Macaca mulatta: one gene and its partners. The main gene of each other region encodes a partner of the protein of the gene in region 2 in a complex. Links are inferred from orthologs where the notes say so. Each region holds a gene or a part of one and is shown on either strand. Other genes may lie near its edges. The genes, in order: USP39, LSM4 and LSM7.

The links.
Region 1: LSM4 (region 2) and USP39 share a complex: the UniProt entries of both Homo sapiens proteins name them as parts of the U4/U6-U5 tri-snRNP complex. The link is inferred for Macaca mulatta from reciprocal best matches to the Homo sapiens genes LSM4 and USP39.
Region 3: LSM4 (region 2) and LSM7 share a complex: the UniProt entries of both Homo sapiens proteins name them as parts of the precatalytic spliceosome. The link is inferred for Macaca mulatta from reciprocal best matches to the Homo sapiens genes LSM4 and LSM7.

Annotation. Positions count from the first base shown.
Region 1 is NC_133418.1:38,743,334-38,745,755, forward strand, and holds the end of USP39 (ubiquitin carboxyl-terminal hydrolase 39), read right to left. Parts: intron 1,931-2,422; coding exon 1,844-1,930; intron 1,119-1,843; coding exon 1,071-1,118; 3' UTR 608-1,070; downstream 1-607.
Region 2 is NC_133424.1:18,849,839-18,853,973, forward strand, and holds the start of LSM4 (U6 snRNA-associated Sm-like protein LSm4), read right to left. Parts: upstream 2,925-4,135; 5' UTR 2,819-2,924; coding exon 2,816-2,818; intron 1-2,815. UniProt on the Homo sapiens protein: Plays a role in pre-mRNA splicing as component of the U4/U6-U5 tri-snRNP complex that is involved in spliceosome assembly, and as component of the precatalytic spliceosome (spliceosome B complex).
Region 3 is NC_133424.1:3,071,037-3,075,387, reverse strand, and holds the end of LSM7 (U6 snRNA-associated Sm-like protein LSm7), read left to right. Parts: intron 1-209; exon of another isoform or gene 210-368; intron 369-772; coding exon 773-844; intron 845-3,442; coding exon 3,443-3,585; 3' UTR 3,586-3,734; downstream 3,735-4,351. UniProt on the Homo sapiens protein: Plays a role in pre-mRNA splicing as component of the U4/U6-U5 tri-snRNP complex that is involved in spliceosome assembly, and as component of the precatalytic spliceosome (spliceosome B complex).

The DNA of each region.
Region 1 (2,422 bases), on a different chromosome or scaffold from region 2:
TACTGGAGCTTCCAGAGAGGTAGAGGAAAGTGAGGACAGGGTTGTGTCCAGGTAAAGGGTGGCACCACAGGAATACACGGCTCCTGTCTCCCTTCAAGAGAACTTGCTGAGGCTGACTGGCTGCCTCCAGCTGCTTCCCACATCTTTGGACCTGCCACAGTGCTCATGCCAAGGTCACCCTTCTTCTAGGCTGCTAGAGCCCACTACAGAGCTGATGAATTGTCTGACAGGGAATCTTTGCCCTGGGGCTCCACACTGGCCTGGTTGAGACCTTCTCAGAATTGCACTGTAGTGAGAAGAACTTCGTATTTCCTTTCTTTCCTCTTCCCTTACTCATTCCTGCACTGCAGCCGGAGACTGCCCACCTCTGGCCTTCTAGTTAAGCACAATAATAATGTATCCCCTTGACTCAAGCATTTTTCTACTTAGAAATAAATGCATCCTAACTGACACACCACCCACAAGCTGACAGGAAACGGCGAGCATGGTGTCTGCCAGATGTCAGACTGTAGGGTAGTTTGTGAAGATTAAAAAGGAAAATATTTTCCTCAGCTAACCACCAAATGAAAAGATATAAAACAAGAGGCTAGTTTAAAAACAGGAGAATATTTAATCCATCTAAAAATACACATCAGGAAATGAAGGAAACCATAGGAAAATCCTCCACCTCTAACAGACAAGAGTGAGGTTACTGGCTTTCTGCTTGCTCCAAGAATCCCAAGGCTTGATGTTTGGAAGAAATTATCTGTTCTTCAGCTACTCCCAGATACTCAGACATAAGTTACACACATCTGGAGAAGGGTTCTGCCCTGCTGAAGCTAGAAGGGAGCTCGATGCATGGGAGAAAGGAGCATTAATCTAGAAAAAAATGATCAAAGAACAGCTGGGTGACAGTGTGGGGCCATCCCAGGCAAGTGGGCTCCTGGTGCTCTGGTGTAGCCAGAATCCATACAAGCTGGGCTGGCCCAGGGAGGCCCCCAGTCAGCCTGTAGCTGAATAGCTACAGCTTCTGTGTTCTTATTTACCATCATCAGCCACAGCCCTCGGAAGCAAAGCCCTGGACGCCTCCTTCAAGCCCCCTGCTGGTTGGTTTCATCATTATCTCGCCTCTTCCAAATCTGTAAGAAATGAAAACACAAACTGAAGTCTAGGAGGCATTCAGTCAACAGATACTTGTCAAATACCTATTCTGTGCCAGGCCATGGATAACTCGTCATGCCATTTACAAACCTGCTATACTCCATCTGGAAATCTGCTACAGTGGCTACAGTCACTGAAGGGAAGAAACAGTTATCTCTAGGAGAGGTATCACTTTCTTCTTACAAAGCTATGGCTTTTGTCTCAATCTTCCTTCTTTTGCCAGGTACTAGGGCAGTTACATAAAGAGAAGACAGAGATGCTCTGTGCTCCACGGGTCAATCCAATGGAGAGGACAGACAGGCAAAGCAATATGGTCGGCACTAAAACAAAAGGCAAGCAGAAAGTGCTGTGGGGTCACAAAGAGAGCTCTGCCTGGGGCTCTTGAGGAGTACTTCACAGTCGACTTCTAGCCAGCCTCCCTTCCTCCTTGAAACTAGACCGCACACTTCTGCAAAACTAATCTAGCCATAATCACAACTTTCTTTGCTCACTCATACATTTTCTTATAACTATTTTCTGAAAATCTCTGCTTGACTTTCAGGGCCATATATTCTGGCCCCAACTCACTCCTAAGTACTTCCCAACAGGTACCTGGCCCTCCAACCAAGGTCCTAACTCTATCCCTCTTCCTGCCTTGGCCCACTCCTCTCACTGGCCCCATACCCCACCTATTTGTGGCTCACTAAGCCTGTGGCCAACCCACCTGAATGTAAGCCTCTGACAGTGTGATCATCTGGGGAAGGATGTCAGTCACCTGGAGGTCTTGTAATTCATACCATTTGCCTGTCCCCTGCAGAAAGTATGAAGAGCTGGGTTAGTCTGCTCTCTAAAACCAAAAGGGTGTAGAAGGAAATGATCATAGCCAAGGTTAGAAAAATTAGAATAATAGCCACTAGACATCATCCAGCAAGAATCATAAAGAAGAGAGTACATGGGCCGGGCGTGGTGGCTCACGCCTGTAATCTCAGCACTTTTGGAGGCCGATGCGGGTGGATCACAAGGGCAGGAGATCAAGACCATCCTGGCTAACACGATGAAACCCCATCTCTACTTAAAATACAAAAAATCAGCTGGACGTGGTGGCGGGCGCCTGTAGTCCCAGCTCCTCAAGAGGCTGAGGCAGGAGAATGGCGTGAACCTGGGAGGCGGAGCTTGCAGTGAGCCGAGATTGCACCACTATACTCCAGCCTGGGTGACAGAGCGAGACTCTGTCTCAAAAAAAAAAAAAAAAAAACAGAGGGTACATGACTTCTGTGGGCCTGATTCAATTAACAGGACTTTT
Region 2 (4,135 bases):
GGGAGTTGCCTGACTCCCGGGTCCTCCAAGGCTGCAATGGCCTGGGGCTGTGACCATATATCTTGATTTCTCCTATATCCTCATCTCCAAACTCTGTTGGAGAAAGAGGTCAGAGGAAGGGGTGGATCCTCAAAATCTTAAAAGAAGATACATCAAAGTGCCAGGTGAGGCTTGGCACAGTGGCTTGCGCCTATAATCACAGCACTTTGGGAGGCTGAGGTGGGAGGATCACTTGAGCCCAGGAGTATGAGACCAGCTTGGGCAACACAGCAAGATTCTGTCTCTACAAAAAATGTAAGAATTAGACAGGTTTAGTGACGCATGTGGTCCCAGCTACTTGGGAGGCTGAGGTGGGAGGATCACTTGGGCCGGTGAGGTTGAGGCTGCAGTGATTGTGCCATTGCACTCCAGCCTGGACGACAGTGAGAGCTCAGTTCCAAAAAAGAAAAAAAAGTACAGAGTGCAGTGGCTCACACCTGTAATACCAGCACTTTGACACACCGAGGTGGGTGGATCACCTGAGGTCAGGGGTTCAAGACTAGCCTAGCCAACATGGTGAAACCCCATCTCTACTGAAAATACACAAATTATCCAGGCGTGGTGGCGCATGCCTGTGATCCCAAGCTACTTGGGAGGCTGAGGCAGGAAAATCACTCTCTCCGAGAGGTGGAGGTTTAGTGGGCTTTCTTGCAGCATCTGGAATCTGGTTCTCAGGTCTAGATCCACAAAGACCTAATCCAGTGCCTCCTAATTCAGGAAGCTGTCCAGGACTGCCCATCCCCGCTCCTAACCCAGGCCACTCCTTCTGGCCCTGCCCTGATCACAGGGAACTGGAAGTGTGTATCCCATGATGCCTTGTCCATTCTTGGCCACTCCTCCAGGAAATGGCTGGATAGCCAGGACTCTGGATGTTCAGAAGGTGGGAAGGGGCTGAATGAATGAGTTCACACTTTGCCCAGGCACCGTTCTACACACTGGGAATATAGTTGGAAGAAAAAAAAAGATTCTGCTTCCACAAAACTTAACACGGGTGGATCCTTCCAGCTCTGCCCAGTCTTGCATGCCAACTCTGCCCTCTAAGTACATGGCAGAGGGACAGGCTCTCTAAATCCTTGCTCTTGAAACCGCCTTTGCAAAAATTGTAACTGAGGAAATTATGACAGCGAAAAGAGATCAGACCTAACCGACTCCATCGTGCTTCTAACCTTTAAGCTGTTCTTGTTTATTCCTGGGCATAGGCCGAACTAACCTTGGGAAGGGATTTAGTGTATAGTTTGAAACAAAATTGGTAATAGCCCTTTCCCGAAAAGACCCTTTTCTTGCCTGGGGACCAGTCTGCCTTTGTAGGACTAACAAATTAGCTGCACGATTAGAAATTATTGTTTACGGGTCATACAGCCTCTGGCTGCAAGAGTCTGAACCTCCCCAAATTGCTCCTAGGGATAACATCACTATTATAAAATCTAAGATCAGTGTTTGAGATATTTTGCAGACCCTGTACTTGGTGGATCAGCTGACACCACCCAGACCAGTAATTTGGCTCAACCAGTCCTGCAATCCCACCCAGGAACAGAAGACAGCAAGAAAATCTCACTTCAACCCCCGCCCCCGCCCCCCCCCCCCCCCCCCCCCCGCCAATGACTCCATCTCCAACCTCAGGAAGCTCCAACCAATCAGCACTCCCCACTTCCTGAGCTCCTACCCGCCAAATTATCTTTAAAAACTCGGATCCCCTAATGCTCAGGGGAGACTGATTTCAGCAGTAATAAAACTCCAGTCTCCTGCATAGCTGGCTCTGTGTGAAATACTCTTTCTGTATTGCAATTGCCCTGTCTTGATAAATGGGCTCTGTCTAGGAAGCAGGCAAGGTGAACCCGTTGGGTGGCTACACACTGACCAGCTGGATTTAGGGAGAGCTCTCTCACTAATCCACAGTTCTGATGCAGCCACCCCTGGGGGGCCCTCCTGGTTACTGAATCTCCCACTGTCTCACAGTCTGGAAGTCACATCCCCAACAAGGGCCTTGGTTTCTCTCATTGAAAAAAGAAGGGCCAGATGCTGATGAGCCAGGAAACTCCCAGCTCTGGATTCCTTTTCTGATCTGCACACTGGGAGACACAGGCACTTTCTAGCCCAGATCCAGAACTTACAGAATCATAAACAATGTGGCCCTGCAGAGACCTGGGCTGCAATTTTTCCTTCTGTGTACGGGGAGGATGTACTTTGCCCACCCCTAGCTCAAAACGCTCCCTTCCTCTGGAATGACATGCTTTGTGAACCAAGGAGAAACACCACACCCCAGCACCAGGCCTACTTTTCAGCCAGAAAACAAGAGGCCTAGGAGGCTCTGCTGCTAGCATTTTAAGCATCTTACAAGCTCTGAAATTCCTAAAACCAAGTTTCACAACTCAGACTGGCCCCCTACTTCCCAGCACTCTAGGTTTCAATCTGGGAGGTCAGACTGGGTCCGAAGCGTAAGGGACCCCCTTCCCTGCCCAAAAACTCTCTGTTGCATTTGGCAGATCCCCACTTTTTTAACCTCAGTTTCCCAACCTGCAAAATGGGAAAACTAAGTAAGGCGAGGCCACTGTACTGTGGATACGAGTACGTGCAACCCTAAATCCCAGACACGAACGTGGTAGAACCACCTGCAGTCTCCAGCATCAGTTTCCCGGCCTTGTGCCGGGGGACGGGACTCAAGGCTCGGACCGTACGTTCGCCCCGCGCCAACCCAGCCCTCAGCGCCCGCCCGCAGGGCTCCTAACGACTGCGGTTCCCGCCTCCCGGTGAGACCCCGCCGTTGCTCTGCCCTCACCATGGTGCCGGCGGGGACCGGGCTCGCCGGCCACTTCCGCCGCCGCCGCTGCACACGCTCCCGGCGGTCTTCGCCACGCCGCGCCGCGCGCCACTGGGCTGAAAGAAAGTGGCAGAGACGCGAGCCAGTCAGCACCGGGCTAGAAGGGCGGTTAACCAATCCACGCGGAGTGGGGCGGGGCCCGCTAGGCGAAAGGGGCGGGCCGGGCCGTGTTCCCGCCAGAGGAACGAGGAAGAGAGCCGTAAAGTGCCGCGGCTTGTAATACAAAAGGGGGCGGAGCAACGCGCGCCGGGGCGGGGTGCATTGTGGGTAAACGCGTGCGCAGGTGAAACCTTCGTCGGTCTTCTGGGCTCCACGCTGTGGGCAAAGCCAGTAACTGCCTTTGCAGTTGAGGGAGAGAAATCCAGGCTTCGTGGTGATTGGGACGTCCCTGGTGTCGCCCTTCGGACTCCTAGTTTTCTGATTCTGTAATTATCCAGGGAACATCATTTAGTAGGTTGGAATCCTGACCACGACCCTCGGGGCCTCAGTTTTCTCCCTGTAAATAGTAGTGTCTGCTCCAAAACGTTACTTACTATGAGGATGAAATGAATGAAACCGTGTAAAAGCACTTAAAACAGCGTCTGGCATATATTAAGTACTTAATACCTATTCTGTGCCTGCTTCTGCTCATAGAAATGAACAGTACACAAAATTCGTGGCCCTTAGGGAGACAGACAGTAAACAAAGTAAATAGGCGAATGCTATTAGTTCCCTGGGGCCTGCTGTAACAAATGCCCACACACTGGGAGGCTTAAAACAACAGAACGTGATTTTCTCATAATTCAGGAGACCAGAATAATGAAATGAGGTTGTCAGTAGGGTTGGCTCCCTCTGGAGGCTCTGAGGACAATCTGCGTGTCCTATGCTTCTCTCCTGGGTTCTGGTGGCTGCTGGGAAACCTCGGAGTTCTTGGCTTGTAGATGCAGCCTTCCGCGTTCTGCCTCTGTCGTCACTTGGCCTTCTCTGTGTGTCTCTGAGTCTCAAACGACTCTCTCCTTTTTTTTTTCTTTTTTTGTAGAGACAGGGTCTCCCTATGTTGTCCAGGCTGGTCTCGAACTCTTGGGGTCAAGCAATCCTCCCTCCTCTGCCTCCCAAAGTGCTGGGATTACAGGCGTGAGCCACCGAGCCCAGCCTCTCCGTTTTCTTATAAGGACACGCCTTTCTCTTATTAAGCCCACCATAAATTCAGGATAATGTCATCGCAAGATCCTTAATTACATCTGCAAAGACCCTATTTTTTTTTTTTTTTTTTTTTGAAATGGAGTCTCATTCTATCAC
Region 3 (4,351 bases), about 16 Mb from region 2:
GCACGGGTCAGGCAGCGCAGTCACCACCGCTGTCCCAGCAGAGCACTCCGTCTCCCCTAGAGGAAGCCCTGTCCCCATCAGCTGTCACTGCCTGTCGCCTCTCCGGCACCCACACATCCCCTCCCTGTCTCTGTGGATTGGCCTGTCCTGGACCTTTCATAGAAACGGGATCACACGCTGCGCGGCCTTCTGTGGCTGGCGTCTCTCACCGAGCGTGGCGTCCTCAGGCGCGTCCTCAGGCACATCCGCACCGCGGCCTGCGCCAGCCTCGCTCCTCTTCCCGGCTGGTGGTTCCACCGCATGCATGTGCCGCGGCCTGTTTTGCTACTGTTTTGGAGCGGAGAATTGTTTTTATGACTTTTAAATATCTGGAAAGGGATCAAAAGAAGACTGTCTCATGATGTGGAAGTGATACGAAATTCCCGTTTCAGTGCCTGTGTGTCGAGCTGACTGGCCACGGTTCAGCCACACGTGGACTCATCACCGAAGCTGCTTCCACCCAGGCAGCCCGAGCCAGCAGCTGTGACCGGCACCCTGTGGCCCACACGGCCAGAAGTGTTTGTCCTCTAGCCCCCCGCAGACACAGTCGGCTGCCCATGGTGGGGGTCACTCTGGAGGCGCCTGTCACCAGCCCCTCCCGGGAGCCCTCCCCCACCCTCAGTCCTCCATCCCTGAAGCAGTGAGCCCCATGCCTGGGCCACGCTGGGGCAGGCCGTGTACCCAAGATGGATCTCATGCCTTCTCATTTCTCTCCCCCGGTGATTTCTCCAAGCCAGTGGAATCCTGAAGGGCTTCGACCCACTCCTCAACCTTGTGCTGGACGGCACCATTGAGTACATGCGAGGTGAGTGGGGCGGTGGCTGAGGCGGGCAGCGGGATGAGGAGGGCAGTGGGGTGAGGGGGCAGCAGGGCAAGGGAGGCGGCCATGGAGCTGCCTGCTGCCTCTTCCTCCCTGAAACCCACAAAACCTCACTCTGAGGCACCAACGTGAAGCCTTGTGTTGGCCGATGGACGGGCTGAGCGCTCACCGGTCCTGGACGTCCTCACAAAGCTGGAAACTCCATTGTTGTGGGGCCTGGAGAGACGGGGAAGCTTCCCCACTGGTCTCTACATACTGACAGGGCACTTAAAATGCTCGCAGCACAGTTAGAGGACAGGCTTTTTAAATGTTGTATTATTTCAGTTTTTGTTAAACTGGTGTCGCGAGGGGCCGGGCACGGTGGCTCACACCTGTAATCCCAGCTGCTCGGGAGGCTGAGGCAGGAGAATCGCTTGAACCCGGGAGGCGGAAGCTGCAGTGAGCCAAGATGGTGCAACTGCACTCCAGCCTGAGAAACAGAGTAAGACTCCGTCTCCAAAAAAAAGAGATAAGCTGAGGTCTCACTGTGTTGCCCAGGCTGGTCTCAAACTCCTGGGCTCACGCCATCCCCCTGCTTCAGCCTCCCAAAGTGCTGGGGTTCCAGGTGTGAGCTGTGGCACCCAGCCGAGAGCAGCCTTGCTGTGGGAGAGCGAGCGTGCTGTGGGACCCCTCTCGGGCCCCTCTCCTCTTCTGCCTTGTTAATCCCCACTATGAACGCAGGGCCCCCATCCCCTCCCCAGAGAACACTCCCTCATTTCCCTGCCCCTGCTCGCTCTCCTCCCCAGTGAGGCCGCCAGGTCCTCAGACTCTCCCCGCTAGAAGATCCTGCTGCAAGTCCCCAGCCCGGCCCAGGCATCGGGGGGAGGCCAGGACTTAGAAAGAGACAGTCTTACCCCTCGGACCCATTGATACTGACACAAGATTTATTCTTGGAGCTGGCCACGGTGGCTCATGCCTGTAATCCCTGCACTTTGGGAGGCCGGGACAGGAGGATCACTTGAGCCCAGGAATTTGAGACCAACCTGGGCAACATACTGGGACCCTGTCTCTACAAAAAAACAAAAAAAAAATGAATTAGCCAGGCATGACGGTGCATGTGCCTATGGCCCCAGCTACTCGGGAGGCGAAGGCAGGAGGATTGCTTGAGCCCAGGAGGTTGGGGCTGTGAGCTGGGATGACGCTACTGCACTCCAGCCTGAGGGACAGAGCAAGACCTGGTCTCTAAAACAAAAATGTTAAAAACCTGGGCCCCGTGGTTCTCCCATGCCCCCACCAGCACACGACCACAGTAGTGAGGAGTTTTCATTGCCGTCAGCCTCTTCAGAGCTTGTCTTGGGCTTGCTGGTACTTCCCTGGGGTGCCAGCCCACATGATCCCCACGTGGGTCCCACCCACATGAACAGCCTCTTTTTTTTTTTTTTTTTTTTTTGAGACAGTATCTCACTGTCACCAGGCTGGAGTGCAGTGGCGCCATCTCAGCTCACTGTAATCTCCGCCTCCCGGGTTCAAGCGATTCTCCTGCCTCAGCCTCCCGAGTAGATGGACTACAGGCGCCTGCCACCACACTCAGCTAATTTGTTGTATTTTTAGTAGAGGCCAAGTTTCACCATGTTGGCCAGGATGGTCTCAATTTCTTGACCTCGTGATCTGCCCACCTCAGCCTCTCAAAGTGCTGGGATTATAGGCGTGAGCCACTGCACCCAGCCCAGCCGCTTTTTTTTTTTTTTTCTTTCTGAGACGGAGTCTAGCTCTGTCGCCCAGGCTGGAGTGCAGTGGCCGGATCTCAGCTCACTGCAAGCTCCGCCTCCTGGGTTTACACCATTCTCCTGCCTCAGCCTCCCGAGTAACTGGGACTACAGGCTCCCGCCACCTCGCCTGGGTGTTTTTTTGTATTTTTTAGTAGAGATGGGGTTTCACCGTGTTAGCCAGGATGGTCTCAATCTCCTGACCTCGTGATCCGCCCGTCTCGGCCTCCCAAAGTGCTGGGATTACAGGCTTGAGCCACTGCGCCCGGCCAATTTTTTTGTATTTTTAGTAGAGATGGGGTTTCACCGTGTTAGCCAGGATGGTCTTGAATCTCCTGACCTCGTGACCTACCCGCCTCGGCCTCCCAAAGTGCTGGGATTACAGGCGTGAGCCACCGCACCCAGGCCCCAGCCTCTTATAGGGTGAAAATTGGCCCCCTAGGGTTCCAGGAACCCTGCAGAGACCAGGAGGCCCGGGGTGCCTGTATTCTGGCTGGCCATCTGATAACCTGGTCCCCAGCCCTGGTGCCTGGGCTCCAGTGAGCTCCAAGACCCAGGGTAGCCGGCTGTCGCTCAGGCCTCCCTGTTCCTGTGGTTTGTGGAGTGAGGGCAGGCTGTGGCTGCTGTCTGTGGAGCTGTCGCTGGTCTCTAGGGGCTGTGGGTCTGAGCCATGGGAGCCGGGGACCTGCCCCGCAGAGTGCACCCCCTCTGGGGTCCCCACATGCTCATGGCACCCGCAGGGTGCAGGTGGGGAGGGCGGAGCGAGGGTCTTGTGTCGGTGGGAATTCTCAGAGGCCTCCTGGAGCTCCCTCAGCCCTCTCTGTCTGCTCCTTCCCAGACCCTGACGACCAGTACAAGCTCACGGAGGACACCCGGCAGCTAGGCCTCGTGGTGTGCCGGGGCACGTCTGTGGTGCTGATCTGCCCGCAGGACGGCATGGAGGCCATCCCCAACCCCTTCATCCAGCAGCAGGACGCGTAGCCGGGCCAGGGCTGCAGGACAGGCCGGAGCAGCTTGGTTCCCCACAGACTTGGCCGCCGTTCCCACCACGGTGCCACCTGCTGGAACGGAAGTGCTTTCCTTTTTGTATAGGTTGAATTTTTGTTTTCTTAATAAAACTGCAAACCTCATTGTGTTTGAGCCCCAGAATCTTGCTTTTCCCTTGACCTTCTGAGGAAACCTGTATTCTTGGAGATTGGACTCAGACCCTGGAGCTCATCAAATACCAGCCATGGTCCTTCCTGGGGGTGAGGGTTCACAGGTGACCAAGGCAGGTACAGGCAAGGCCGGGACAGGCGAGTCAGGAGCCTCAGTCCGATGAGGGGCTTGTGGAACCCCAGGCCAACCCCTGAGACAGCAGGAGCCGGGTGCATCAGGAGGGTGGGTGCATCAGGAGGGTGGGTGCATCAGGAGGGTGGGTGCATCAGGAGGGTGGGTGCATCAGGAGGGTGGGTGCATCAGGAGGGTGGGTGCATCAGGAGGGTGGGGTGCATCAGGAGGGTGGGGTGCATCAGGAGGGTGGGTGCATCAGGAGGGTGGGTGCATCAGGAGGGTGGGTGCATCAGGAGGGTGGGGTGTATCAGGAGGGTGGGTGCATCAGGAGGGTGGGGTGTATCAGGAGGGTGGGGTGTATCAGGAGGGGGGGTGTATCAGGAGGGTGGGTGTATCAGGAGGGTGGGTGCATCAGGAGGGTGGGGTGTATCAGGAGGGTGGGGTGTATCAGGAGGGTGGGTGTATCAGGAGGGTG